Medicago truncatula: one gene and its partner. The protein of the gene in region 2 binds, or shares a complex with, the protein of the main gene of each other region. Links are inferred from orthologs where the notes say so. Each region holds a gene or a part of one and is shown on either strand. Other genes may lie near its edges.

What was found. Proteins that work in one complex are often made in the same cells at the same time.
Region 1: 50S ribosomal protein L10, chloroplastic (region 2) and 50S ribosomal protein L27, chloroplastic share a complex: the UniProt entries of both Arabidopsis thaliana proteins name them as parts of the 50S ribosomal subunit. The link is inferred for Medicago truncatula from reciprocal best matches to the Arabidopsis thaliana genes EMB3136 and RPL27.

Annotation. Positions count from the first base shown.
Region 1 is NC_053044.1:6,288,298-6,295,339, forward strand, and holds the start of 50S ribosomal protein L27, chloroplastic, read right to left. Parts: upstream 3,032-7,042; 5' UTR 2,952-3,031; coding exon 2,652-2,951; intron 693-2,651; coding exon 591-692; intron 501-590; coding exon 321-500; 3' UTR 1-320.
Region 2 is NC_053045.1:63,051,381-63,056,900, forward strand, and holds 50S ribosomal protein L10, chloroplastic, read left to right. Parts: upstream 1-3,943; 5' UTR 3,944-4,012; coding exon 4,013-4,717; 3' UTR 4,718-4,988; downstream 4,989-5,520. UniProt on the Arabidopsis thaliana protein: This protein binds directly to 23S ribosomal RNA.

The DNA.
Region 1 (7,042 bases), on a different chromosome or scaffold from region 2:
GTTTGAAAACTTGGGGGAAACTAAACATCAACTTAGGTAGCTTGTAAAGGTGAAATGTGAGTTACATCATGTAAACAAAGCAAAAGACCATTTCATTTACTCAAAAAGAAAATTACACACCCAAACAAATTGATAGTGAATGGCTATACTGTCTTGTAATTGGTTTGGGGACACTAGGGAACAGTTTTGGCCGTGTACGGTACAATTTTGCTGCCAGAAAACAAATACAATATTACAATGCTAAAGGTTTCCCAGATACACAAAAGAAAAACAACTGAAGACAGCTAGATTTTACACAGTGAAGTGAATGAAGTATAGAATCAACAATCTGGATTCTCTATTGCGGTATCATCAACGGAAGCGAGCATTAGCTGTGGTTGAAAAGCTCTTCTTTCTTTAGCAGCCTTTTTGCGTTCACGCCTCATCTTGAAGTACTTTATCTTCCTTAATCTATAGCTATCGGGGTTCGGAACCCGTTCTTCTTGTGGGTAAACACTGATCTGTAATATTTTTACAACTTTATTAGCTAGTTAATTTGTACTGTAGGATTACAGGTCATATACAGAAAGCAGTGAAAGACTATTTTTTACCTTTTTCTTGTCTGGTCCATATTTCTCAAATTTTACAACTCCATCAATTAGGGAGAAAATGGTATGGTCCTTACCAATCCCTACATTCTTTCCTGCGTGAAACTTCAAGTTTTGCAAAGAAAAAAATATTAGAACTTAGAGAAACAGTAAGTTTCATGATAGGACATTCACATTACAACATCATTAGATGCATTTAGCCAAGTCTATCGGAAAAAAAAAATACTTTGGTTGTTATTGTCAGAAAAACAGCAAGGCAATAAAGATTCAACAATATCTTAAAAACTGCTACAACAAATGCACCTATTTACTATATTGTGTGTGCCTGTAACAACCTTATCATGATTTACTATATTCTGTGTGCCTATAACCACAAATACAAACTCAATGTGAAGGTTTTTCAACTCTCAGCAACCGCATCGCAACAGCAAAAAGTAGCTACATTGACCGTGTTTTTTCATGTTTTTTTCCATAATATCCAGGATCACCACTAACCGTGATTGCGATTTAAAAAATTGACCACATTATTTCCATAATAGCATTTATTACAATCAGTATAGAACAAACATGAGAAGTTCTTTCAGTCAGTATAAAGTGTGCAATAAAAGTTGTGGAATCGCTTACAACTTTACCATACTGATAAAAAACAATCGTATCAATGGTGATATTGTCAATTACACAATGCAACTCAATTATTCAAAAGACCTTAATCATTCTTAGTTCCCTTCATATGGAATTCTAGGCTCTAGCATATAAATTGCAAAAGTAGACATGTTTTACCTGTTCTGATTGACCTAAACATCTAAGGAAACACTTATTAAAAAGAGACAATATCTAAGAATTTTTAAAATAACAAGTTCTTATAGAAGATGAATTCTGTCATTTAACTTGACTTAAAAAACCCATAACAAAGAAAAAGGGTTTTTCAGTGACTAACCACAACAAAAAAAAACCCATAACTAGAGAGAACAATAAAAACTCACTATTTTTGCAACTCTCACTCTTATAATTGCATCTTGAAATTAATGATATAAATCGGCAAAATAGTATAATTGCCAACTCACTCTCTTTGGATGTCCGTCCAAATGTCAGCGTAGGACTTAAAAAACGAGTGGTGTCAAAGCGTACTTACGAGTAAGCTATGAAGAACGAACTCTGACACTGACACCTCACGGACACATTGACAATGCTAATTTTAAAAATATAGGACAAACACTGATACATACATATTTATTTATTTATAATTATTAAATAAGATATGAGCATTATTTATTAAAGATCTAAATCGAGAACTAAAATATATATGTACGTCTAAATTGAGCCATTTGGTACAAAGTTATTAAACAAAATATAACAAATTTTCACCTCATCCATCCATTCATCTACTATACAGAAAAGTTAAAAAAAAAATGATATCTTCAACCCCTTCATTTATCATCACTACTTCAACACAATTTTAAGCCTCATAGAAGTTTACGAGGAGTGTCGAAGGAGTGTAAAAGTGTGTTGAAGCAAATAATTTTTTTGGGGGACACATGTCGTGTGTCGGACACAGAGACCTTAATGACAGAGGTGTCTGTGCTTCATAGTCTCATATATCAGACTCAAATGATTAATTAAAACAAAAATGTGACATTTCGTAATTGATAATTTGGATATCAAAGCAGAGCAAGGCAGTGTCTGGTTTTTTTTTTTTTTTTTTGGTAGATAGACGAAATGGCAAAGCCATTATAAACTCACACACACAAGTGGAGGTACCGGGGTTCGAACCCCGGTCATGGTATCAGCCTAACAATTTCGGCATTTGTCAGATGAGCTAGGACTTCTGGATGGCAGTGTCTGGTTTTAAACATGCCAATTACACCAATCTATAATCCTTTCTTTAATTCTTTCTATAAGCTCTAATTGAACACAAACTACACCAATTTCATTTTTTTCAATTCACCCAAAATATAATTCTTAACGACAATTAACATGTTCATAATTTCATAAATTCATATGACACGTCATTTTTTTTTTGTCTAAAATTTGAAAATGGAATAGAGAAACTGATTATGAACACACCTTGGTTCCACGCTGACGAACAATGATGGAACCAGGTTTAGCGACCTGGTCACCATAAACCTTAACACCGAGACGCTTTCCGGCCGAGTCACGGCCATTCTTGGTACTTCCTGCTCCCTTCTTATGAGCATTCCGGATAATCAGTGCTGACCGATGATGAATTCGAGGGAGAGATACTGATGGAGTCATACGAAGAGTGGTGGAACCTGATAAAAAGGAAGATGAAGATGAAGAAGAGGGAGAAGAGAGAGAAAGTGATTTGAATGCTGTTGCTATGTTGAAACCCATGCATACAGCCATGGTGGAAACTGCTGGGTTGTCTGAAGAAGTGAGAGATAAGACTCAAGAAGGGATGAATGAAATGAAAATGAAGGTGGATAAGGGGAAATTTGGAATTTAATTGATTTTTTTTAATATTTTTGTATATTAATTTTTTTTTCTGCCATTCAAAAAAAAACATTATTATTTTTTTTCTGCAGCACATTGATAACACATCACATCTTCTATAGATACATTTGAGAATGTTTAAAATGAACGATACATATGACATCTCAAGATCAAATTTAAAAGAAAATTTACATGTGGCAATGTAAGGTTGAATTATAAAAGTCATAGTTCAATTACACAATTTAAGACAATTTTTTTTAATGACACCATTTATAACATACTAAAGTAACAAAGTATAATCAACACATAAGAATCAACCACTGTCCACCAACGATGCAAGAAGCAACCACGATGGATAAAATATTTTAGGTATGATGAACGATACTACCGTCAACACAGAGCATCTACGCACCTAGCCCTTTCGAGGAACCTTAAGATAAAACCAGTCATGTTGAATCGAGATATGCATCCATCAAAGAAGCCAGAACTAAAGAACCCATATCTTCAATCCAAAAAACCAGATTCGAGATTTTTAGACAAAATCACAGAGCCGAAACAAAGTCACCACCCATCTTCATTTCCACGAAACAAAACGAAAACAAACGCCAATAAACAAAAATGAAAAAAAAATAGCCAAAAACAGACTGAGACTAACTCATAATCGCGTCAACACCATAGCTCTACAAGACGTCGACGATGTTGAACGAAACCAGTGACCACAATAGAATCAACACACACCAAGACTCTAAAAGGACAGCCGCTGCGGCGCTTCATCGACGACAAACTAAAACCCATAAATATATTTTTCATTTATACACAAAAACACGGGATATATATTTACCACTGATAAACATAAAAACATGTGACACATATTTGTCATCATTGTGGCTAAAAAAATATTAACATATTATTTTTAACAAAACAATATTGACATATTTCAAAATTCACGGTGCATAGATGCTTTTCATCAATAAAAAAATAAAAAAATTGAGATTGAAAAATAATAGTTTATCACTCGTGCATTGCACAGGTTAACACACTAGTTATACACACACACCATTGAGTTTGTTTTTTTGTTGATAAAATGCACACGATTGAGTTGGAATTCCAGATTTCACACTCATTTACATTTTTTTTGTGGTGGCGAACCCAAACCTTATATATATTATGCATTGTCTATATCAATTGAGCTAAGCTCATGACAACATTAAATGTGAATTTATAATAACTAGATTATTTGATAAAAAATAATTGATTTTTATTTTAATTTTGCAAAAATTAATTGAATATGGGCTGTAAGAATACACTTGGTCTAGTATTTTGAGTAAAGAAATTATTGTGATTATCACTAAATTTAACATTCTATTTCTTAAAAATGACATCCATCGTTTATTTTCATAAATGGAGAGGATCCTTACTCATTTATTGATGAGCTTGTATTTAACCCGTTGGTTGACCAAATTAAAACTAGATTGTTAGGGTGGACGAATAAAAACTTGTCTTTTCGAGGACGTATCATTCTAATGAAACCTATCATGCCTTCTCTTCCGATCTATTTTTCTTCGTTCTTCAAGGCTCTCACATGTATAATGACCTCTATACATTCTATTTTAAAATGTTTTTTTCTCTTCGGAGGGGGCAGATTCTAGAAAGATTCCATGGGTCAGTTGGGAGTCTGTTTGTTTAGGTAAAAAAAAAATGGTGGCTTGGGGATTAGGAGGATGAAGGAATTCAATTTAACATTGTTAGATAAATGGTGTTGGAGGATGCATGTAGATAGCGGAGGGTTGTGGTACGAAGTCCTAGCAACCCGTTATGGTGAATTTTTGGGGGTAACTTTTGGAGGGGGGAGGGATAGTTCTGTGTGGTGGAGGGATCTACGAAAGATTTGTGAAGGGATTAAGATGGGAGTCGGAATTTGGTTCAATGATAACCTGAGGAGGGTAGTCGGTGATGGGGTTAATACCTTCTTTTTGGTTGGACACGTTGTAACACCCCGTTTTTCCAACATATAAATAATATAAAATAAATCAGAGTTCATCGCAAACAGAATGTCACATTTCGTTCTTCAAAATATCATTTAACACAAATAGAGTTAAATTCACTATTTATTTAAACAACTGCTTTCAATAATTCAAAATAATGTCGCAGCGGAAATATTTAATCTTTAAGCATTACTTGGCACTGAGGCCTCAACATCAACAACATATATAAAATTCACCTAAAAGTGGTAAAACATCAAATTATAAGAAGATACGTAACAATGGTAAATAAAACACATAAGAATTCCCATCCCGTTACGTATCAGAGCATGACTCCTATGACGACACAAGAATTCAACTCACATCAGCTGTTACTCCTGAATATCTGCACGTTACCCATATAGAGGTAACATTCAAACAGAAGGGGTGAGATTTCACACTCGATAATAATTAGCAATAATTCATTTAAAATAATTTAACAACACAAAACATCAGCAATTCATCATTAACAATGCTTCACATAAGTCCAACTACAAATCATCAATTAACTTCGCTCAACAGTGCAACGACATGACTCATAAAATGCAATGCAATGCAATTATGCATGTGGTACCAACAGAGCTACAACTCCCTTCGCTAATGCCGTGATTCGGCTTTGATAGGCTACAACCCCCTTTCGCTTAATAAATCACCAATACAGGCCATCGTGGTGCCAATCCAGGCCATCGTAATTAAAATGAAATGATTATGCAATGACACAATTAAAATGCAACAACAACAACATCAACTTCGCATCACAATTTCACAATTAATCAACATTATTCTTCGCAAATAAACAATAATTTCATTCAAACACTTATAATTACGAAACTCAAGCATGCATACCTTAATTGAACCCCTTAATACTCAAGTTTGAAGTTTAGAAACCAAACCATAAGTATTGGAATGACTTGGAAATAGTTATGCTAAATTTCTTTAAAATTTCCCCAAGACCTACTTGAAGTGTTTTCATCATAACTCAAAATCCACAAAACATTTTCAAGTCAAACTAACGCCATTGGAAAGATAACATAATTATCTAAAACCTTCATGTTTACACCAAAGCCAATTCAAATCAGAAAAAGGGTGAAAAAGCACAAAAACTCAAAATACGAAGTCCTGACAGCACGCAAACGAAGGCACAATAAAGCAGTCACCCATGAGGGCTGTCTTGCTGCGCCCAGGCGCTGGCGAGCTGCACCCAGGCCTGGTCAGGCAGTAGCTAGTGACATGCGCTGCAGCTCTGTACAATCCTGGTTTTTTCCCGGTTTTACCATTTCACACGTAAAAACTCAACCGTTAACCCGATTCCAATTCCGTTTTCGCCTACGCGTTCTATTCAATAAATCCTATCATATTTTACTGAAAAATCATATTTTCAAATCTCCAAAACAGCTTATCCCAGAATCATTTATTTCCCAAAAACACTTAAAATCACTTTTATTCAAAATCTCAATTTTTGACCCCATTCGATCCAAATTTGATAGGAAACATTACCTAGGGTTACTCTACAACCTAAACAACAACTTTCAAATTAATTCATTGGATTACTTACACTTTCAAGAATCAAATTGTAATTCAAAACCCTAATTTCTTTAACATCACAATTATCAACAACATCAAAGTTAGCCCCTTTTTCAGAATTATAGAACTCATATTAAAGAAGGTTAGTCCCACCCTTACCTTAGATTGGATGAACTTTGAATTCTTTAAGCTTTCCCTTGCCCTCTCACAATGCTCTTCTCTTCTCTGACTTCTCACTTTCACGTTTCCTCCAAAAACTGTTTTACGTGTCTGACTCTTCTTTTCCTAACCTCTCCTTTTTCTTAACCTAACACATTCCCTCTTATTCCAATTTTGCCCTTACTGCCTCATTATTCTATTTAATTTTATTCCTTCACTAATATTACTATAATAAGCTACTAATATTCACCAACATATAACACAAAACATCACACATCGTAATTATTCACATAAATTATT
Region 2 (5,520 bases):
CAATTCCAAAGAGTTATTAAACCTCCTGAAGCCCCACTCGAAGGTTGATAAGAAAAATCAACACGGTTATCAGTCCATAGGCCTTTACACACAAAATCATTTACAACAGATAATTTAGATTCTTGTAAACATAAGATAAACGGATTTTTCTCCCTCACCAAGTTACTCACTTCCCTTCTCTTTTCAAACCCACCCAAGCCCCTAACATTCCAAGGAATAATCTTCATTAACACTACCCACTCCACAACACCACAAACACCCTTACCTCCTCATCCCAACCCTCGGCCTTACCTCTCTCCACCATCAACCTCTTTATTTTTTCTTCCAACACCTGACAACACATCAAACCTATTTTGAATATCCCCTTGAAAATTCACCCCCACTAACTTTCCCATCCCCCTAACATCATCCGATAAAGCCTTGCTATTACCATGAAGTACTAACCAACTCGACCAGTCGTAATTAACAGATGACTGTGAATCATTAACAGAAGAGCTAACCGGCGAATTTACCTTATTAACATGAGTATCTGACACCACCTTATGTCTCCTTTTCTTCTTGCGCAAGGCACGCAAAACAACCTTACGGTCTTCCTCTGATAACCTCGCAATACGCTTCAAATTCATTGCACAGTGCCGAAAAGAACTATTACCCTTCTTTCTCGTGACTTTAATAGCACTAGAAGTCTGTTTGTTAAAGTCTAAAATTTCAACAGGTGCTGCATCTCCAATCACCAACTCCTTATGTTGACGTGCCCATTCCCAACTCCACGGACCTGCCGATACAGTATGGACCCGACTAGGAGGACATGACATGAAGACGTACGATGCTTCTTCCTCTTAGCACCACTACAAGAAATTCGATCCAAATCAGCTCGTGCGATATCATCCTCCAAAACAACCTTGTTGTTAGCTTGTTGTAAAGGAACTGTTTGAGCTGCGCAAGGATTTTGAGAGGAAACCTCCGTAACACCCTTCGACACCTCTTTAGTACCCACCACCGGACTCTCAACAAGTGAAGGAAAATCGTTAATAGGAATAACCTTATGAACCTGAAGGTCCTGCTGCTCCTTCTGCCATTCCTCTGATAGATGCTTCATCAAATTATCAACCTCACCATCAACATGTAAATCCCCAATATTTCTCTCATCCTCCATATCCTCCTCTTCTTTAACCTCCTCATCCTCCGATAAGCAAGCATCTTCACCCAACGAAAACCCTCCCTCCTCCACAATTTTAAGTTCATAAATAGCTCCATCTATCATCACCTTTGCATCTGAAATAACTAAATCCACAGAAGGCGTAGAAATAAGAACCCGAGCATAATCAAACCGGATTTTTTCCAGAGTGGAATCATCCAATTTCAACAAACGACCATAGTCAAAGACACAAAGTTTGAAAAAATCCAAGTTCCACGCTTGTAACGGCACCCCATAGATCCTCACCCAAGCTCCTCTTTCGCGAACCACCATATCTTTCCTCCAGTTCATAATATTAGAAAAAAAATTTGCAAAAAATTCCGATGCTTCAGCCAACAATAAGTTAACATCACTATCATCTTCAGTTCTCAATAAGACCTTATCAGCTCCCAAAGGAATTATGTCTAAATTCTCAAAGCCCGCATCAAAAATACGTCGCTGCAACACAGGGATCGCATCTCCATTCAAAACCGTAGCAACCATCCCCTACTAGCCCATAAAACATCCTGATCCTTGGAGGTATATTTAGGAATGTGGATCTTCGCAGCCTCTCCCACAACCACCTTCGCACCAACCGGTTCTCTCACATTCACCCTCTTCTCCACCCTTGCCTCAGCTTCTTCTCTACTAACCACCCCTCCTCTCGCAGCTACATCTCCCTCAAGCCCCTTACTCCTCCCTTCACCTTGAGCCTCTCCGTCAACAACCTTCCTTCCCCCCAGCTCTCTTTTTTCTCCCTCTAATTCTTTATCTCCCTCATTAATTTTTTCTCCCTCTCCCCTAACACTGCCTTCACCCCTACCACCTCCATTCCTACCAAAACTCGCCACCTTAGCCACCACCTTCCAATCTCCAAACCAGACATTGTTCAAAGCCTTCAAGAGCTTCTCTACATCCTTCACTTTGCCATAACGAACAAAACCAAACGCACCACCATTAACATTACGTTTACGTGCCAAGTAAACATCCTCCAATATACCACATACCTCAAAACCTTGTCTCAATGAAACATATGATATATCAAGAGGAATATTTGTAAAATAGAAAGAAACAACATTCTGGTTCACCTGCACTTTCTTCGCCTGTTCCTGAATACTCACAGCTAAACGTTGTTTCTCATCACGTGCCTGCACATTAACTGAACCAGGATCGTTCCTCACAGCCTTGTTGTTGTTTCTCATAACATGGATTTTATTCTTGACTCAATGAAGGTGATGAATTATTTACAGAAAGGAAGCAATGTTATTACTGAGTTTGATAAAATCATGTATGAATGTAGACATCATTGTAATTTTGCTTTTAAAAACTCTCTTGTCGAGTTTAGTCGGAGAAAAACCAATCAAATCGCTCATGCCTTGGCACTGTGTATTTGTGAATTAAAATCTAATGAAATACTACAAACATTTCCTTAAAAAAAAAAAACTTGTTGGAAATACGTTCAATTAATTAGTCATTTTCTTTGAGGATTAAAAATCTGTTAATGTAATTATTAATGTTTTTGGTGTTAACATCTCGTTTTAAGGAAAAACGAGTCATTCAAATATAGTTCGACCAGAGGTAAGTAAAATATGATCGAAAATTATTACAACTAAAAATCAAACTCAAATTCTGCTAAATAATTACAATCACAATTAACTAGACTAAGTCAAGCATAATTGCAATTTTGGTGAAATACACATAACAAAAATGCAATAAGTCTACAAATGATTCTTAAACTCTAATAATTTATAATAAAATTCACAATTACCAACAAGTTTAGAGACCTTTGCACAAATTATTTTAAAATATACAAGCTCAATTACACATTATTTAGAAAAGAGTCATGCTAACTCTTCGTGTCTTAAGGATACAAGTTAAAAAGCTAAAAAGAGAATTAAAATATAACTTTTGTATTGAAAAGATAAAATTTAAGATTTTTATACATTGAATGCACAATTTTCAAGAAAATATTTCTATGTTTAGTTTCTAAACTTATGTCTCAAGAGCATAAGTTAACATTTCCTTTTAAAAAATTAAGTACTCAACTAAAACCTTGTTCATAAATCTAACTATAAATTATTTACTAATTTATTAACCTAATTATAATTTTATTTAGTTTAGAAACCAATTTCAAAATTATTGAATAGTTTTTTTTTTTTTGGTGGCCGGGTTTTGAATCCTAGATCTTGCATATATTATGCATTGTTCATACCAACCGAGCTAAGATCACGAAAATAAATTATTGAATAGTTAATAGACTTCTAAAGTATTTAAAAAATAAATCCATACCAACTAAGCTTAGGTCACGAAGACAAGTTATTGAATACTACCTCCGTCCCTAATTATAGGACCCTTTTAAAAAAATAACGGGAATTAAGAGAGTGAATATTTTTATTAAATATGTTTGTAATTACTATTATTTTTACAATTTTATCTTTTAAGAGAGTGTTGATTTATGTTTTCAACATGTTATTTATTGTTGATTGAAAAAAAATGTATAATAAATAAGGGCATGTATGTAAAGAAATAATTAATGTAGTTGGAAATAGAAAATGAGTCTTATAAAAAGGGACAATTTTTTTTTCTTTCAAAACGGTCTTATAATTAGGGACGGAGGTAGTAATTAATATTATTGAGTAGTTAATACAAGTATTTAAAAAATAAGTAAAGTTGAAAAAATAAAATAAATTTGAAACCCATTGCAAAGTACCATATTGCCCCCATTGTGATTGATGAAAAACCAAAGAAACAAAGGGATAAGATAAGCCAATATGAATCAAACCAACCCTTTTATCCCATTTTCAGTTTTCTTCATCTTCCATTTCCATCATCACCATGGAAGCTACTGCAACTCTACTCAGCTTCTCTCTTCCATCCACCAAAACCCAATCTTTTCAAATCCTAACCCGACCCATTAACCCATTCAACCCACCCACATCATACAAACATAGACCCATTTCCAAAACCCACCGTTTATCCATCAACGCCGCAATTTCACGCACAAAGAAAGAAGAAACAGTTGAAACCGTAAAAGAACAACTTGAAAACTGTTACCTCCTCGCCGGAATCAACTACAAAGGCTTCACCGTAAAACAATTTCAAGAACTTCGAAAAACTCTTCCTGAAACAACGAAACTCGTTGTTGCGAAGAACACGTTGGTTTATAAAGCACTTGAAGGAACACAATGGGAGACGTTGAAGCCATGTATGACAGGTATGAATGTGTGGTTGTTTGTTCATACTGAAGAGATTCCCTCTGCTATTAAGCCTTATAGAGATTTTCAGAAAGAGAAGAAGCTTGAAGAAAATGATTTTACTGGTGCTGTTTTTGAAGGGAAATTTTATGGTCCTGATGAGTTTAAGAAACTTGAAACATTGCCGACACGTGGCGAGATTTATGCTAATTTGTTGGGTTCATTGAAAAGTCCTTCTTCTGCTTTGGTTACTACCATTCAAGCTCCTGCTAGAGAACTTATTATGGTTCTTAAGGCACATATTAAGAAGCTTGAAGAACAGGAACAGGGTAGTGCTGTTCTATAGATAAGTTTTTTCAATCTTGTTTGTGTATTTGTTTTATGATTTTATAATTATGTTACAATGTGGATTTTGTTTTATTGTATTTGAGCATGTTTATTTATGTTTATGTTCCCTCAGATTATGTGTACAATACAAGTGTACATTTGATGCTTTGAGCTTGTTGTATCAGAAAATGTAGAATGATGCAATTATTTTTTCTCTTAGGATACTGATGATGGATAATTTGTTCCAATTGAATGATGCAATTTCACTAATTATTGGTTATTGTATTTGAGTATGTTTGTTTATGTTCCTTCAGATTATGTGTACAACTGTGCATTTGATGCTTTGAGCTTGTTGTATCAGAAATTGTCGAATGGTTCAATATTTTTTTCTGTTAGTGTAGAGATGATTGATGGATAATTTTGTTCCCATTGAATGATGCAATTTCACTAATTATTGGTTATTATGTGCATGTACCATTTTGATGTTGTGTTTTTTCCCTTTGTTTATTTGAGTGTTATATTTTGGAGACTTCGTTCAACTTGAAGTGTTTGTCATTTATACCGAGTCTCAGAATTTGGGTTGGGATTAACTTAAGCCTTACAAAACCAACTTTTCGGTCATATTTTATCCAACGTAGAACTCTTAACATGTATTACCTTATGTAACAATACCACACATTCACTCAATTGGATTAATATTTAGTGCGGTAAGTTGGATTGGAAAATCAACTGAAACTGTGAGTTTCATGGCTTAATCTTCATTCAATTGAACTTCTTGACTTACTGCAATGACTATGTCATTTTAGCATTACAGAATCCATT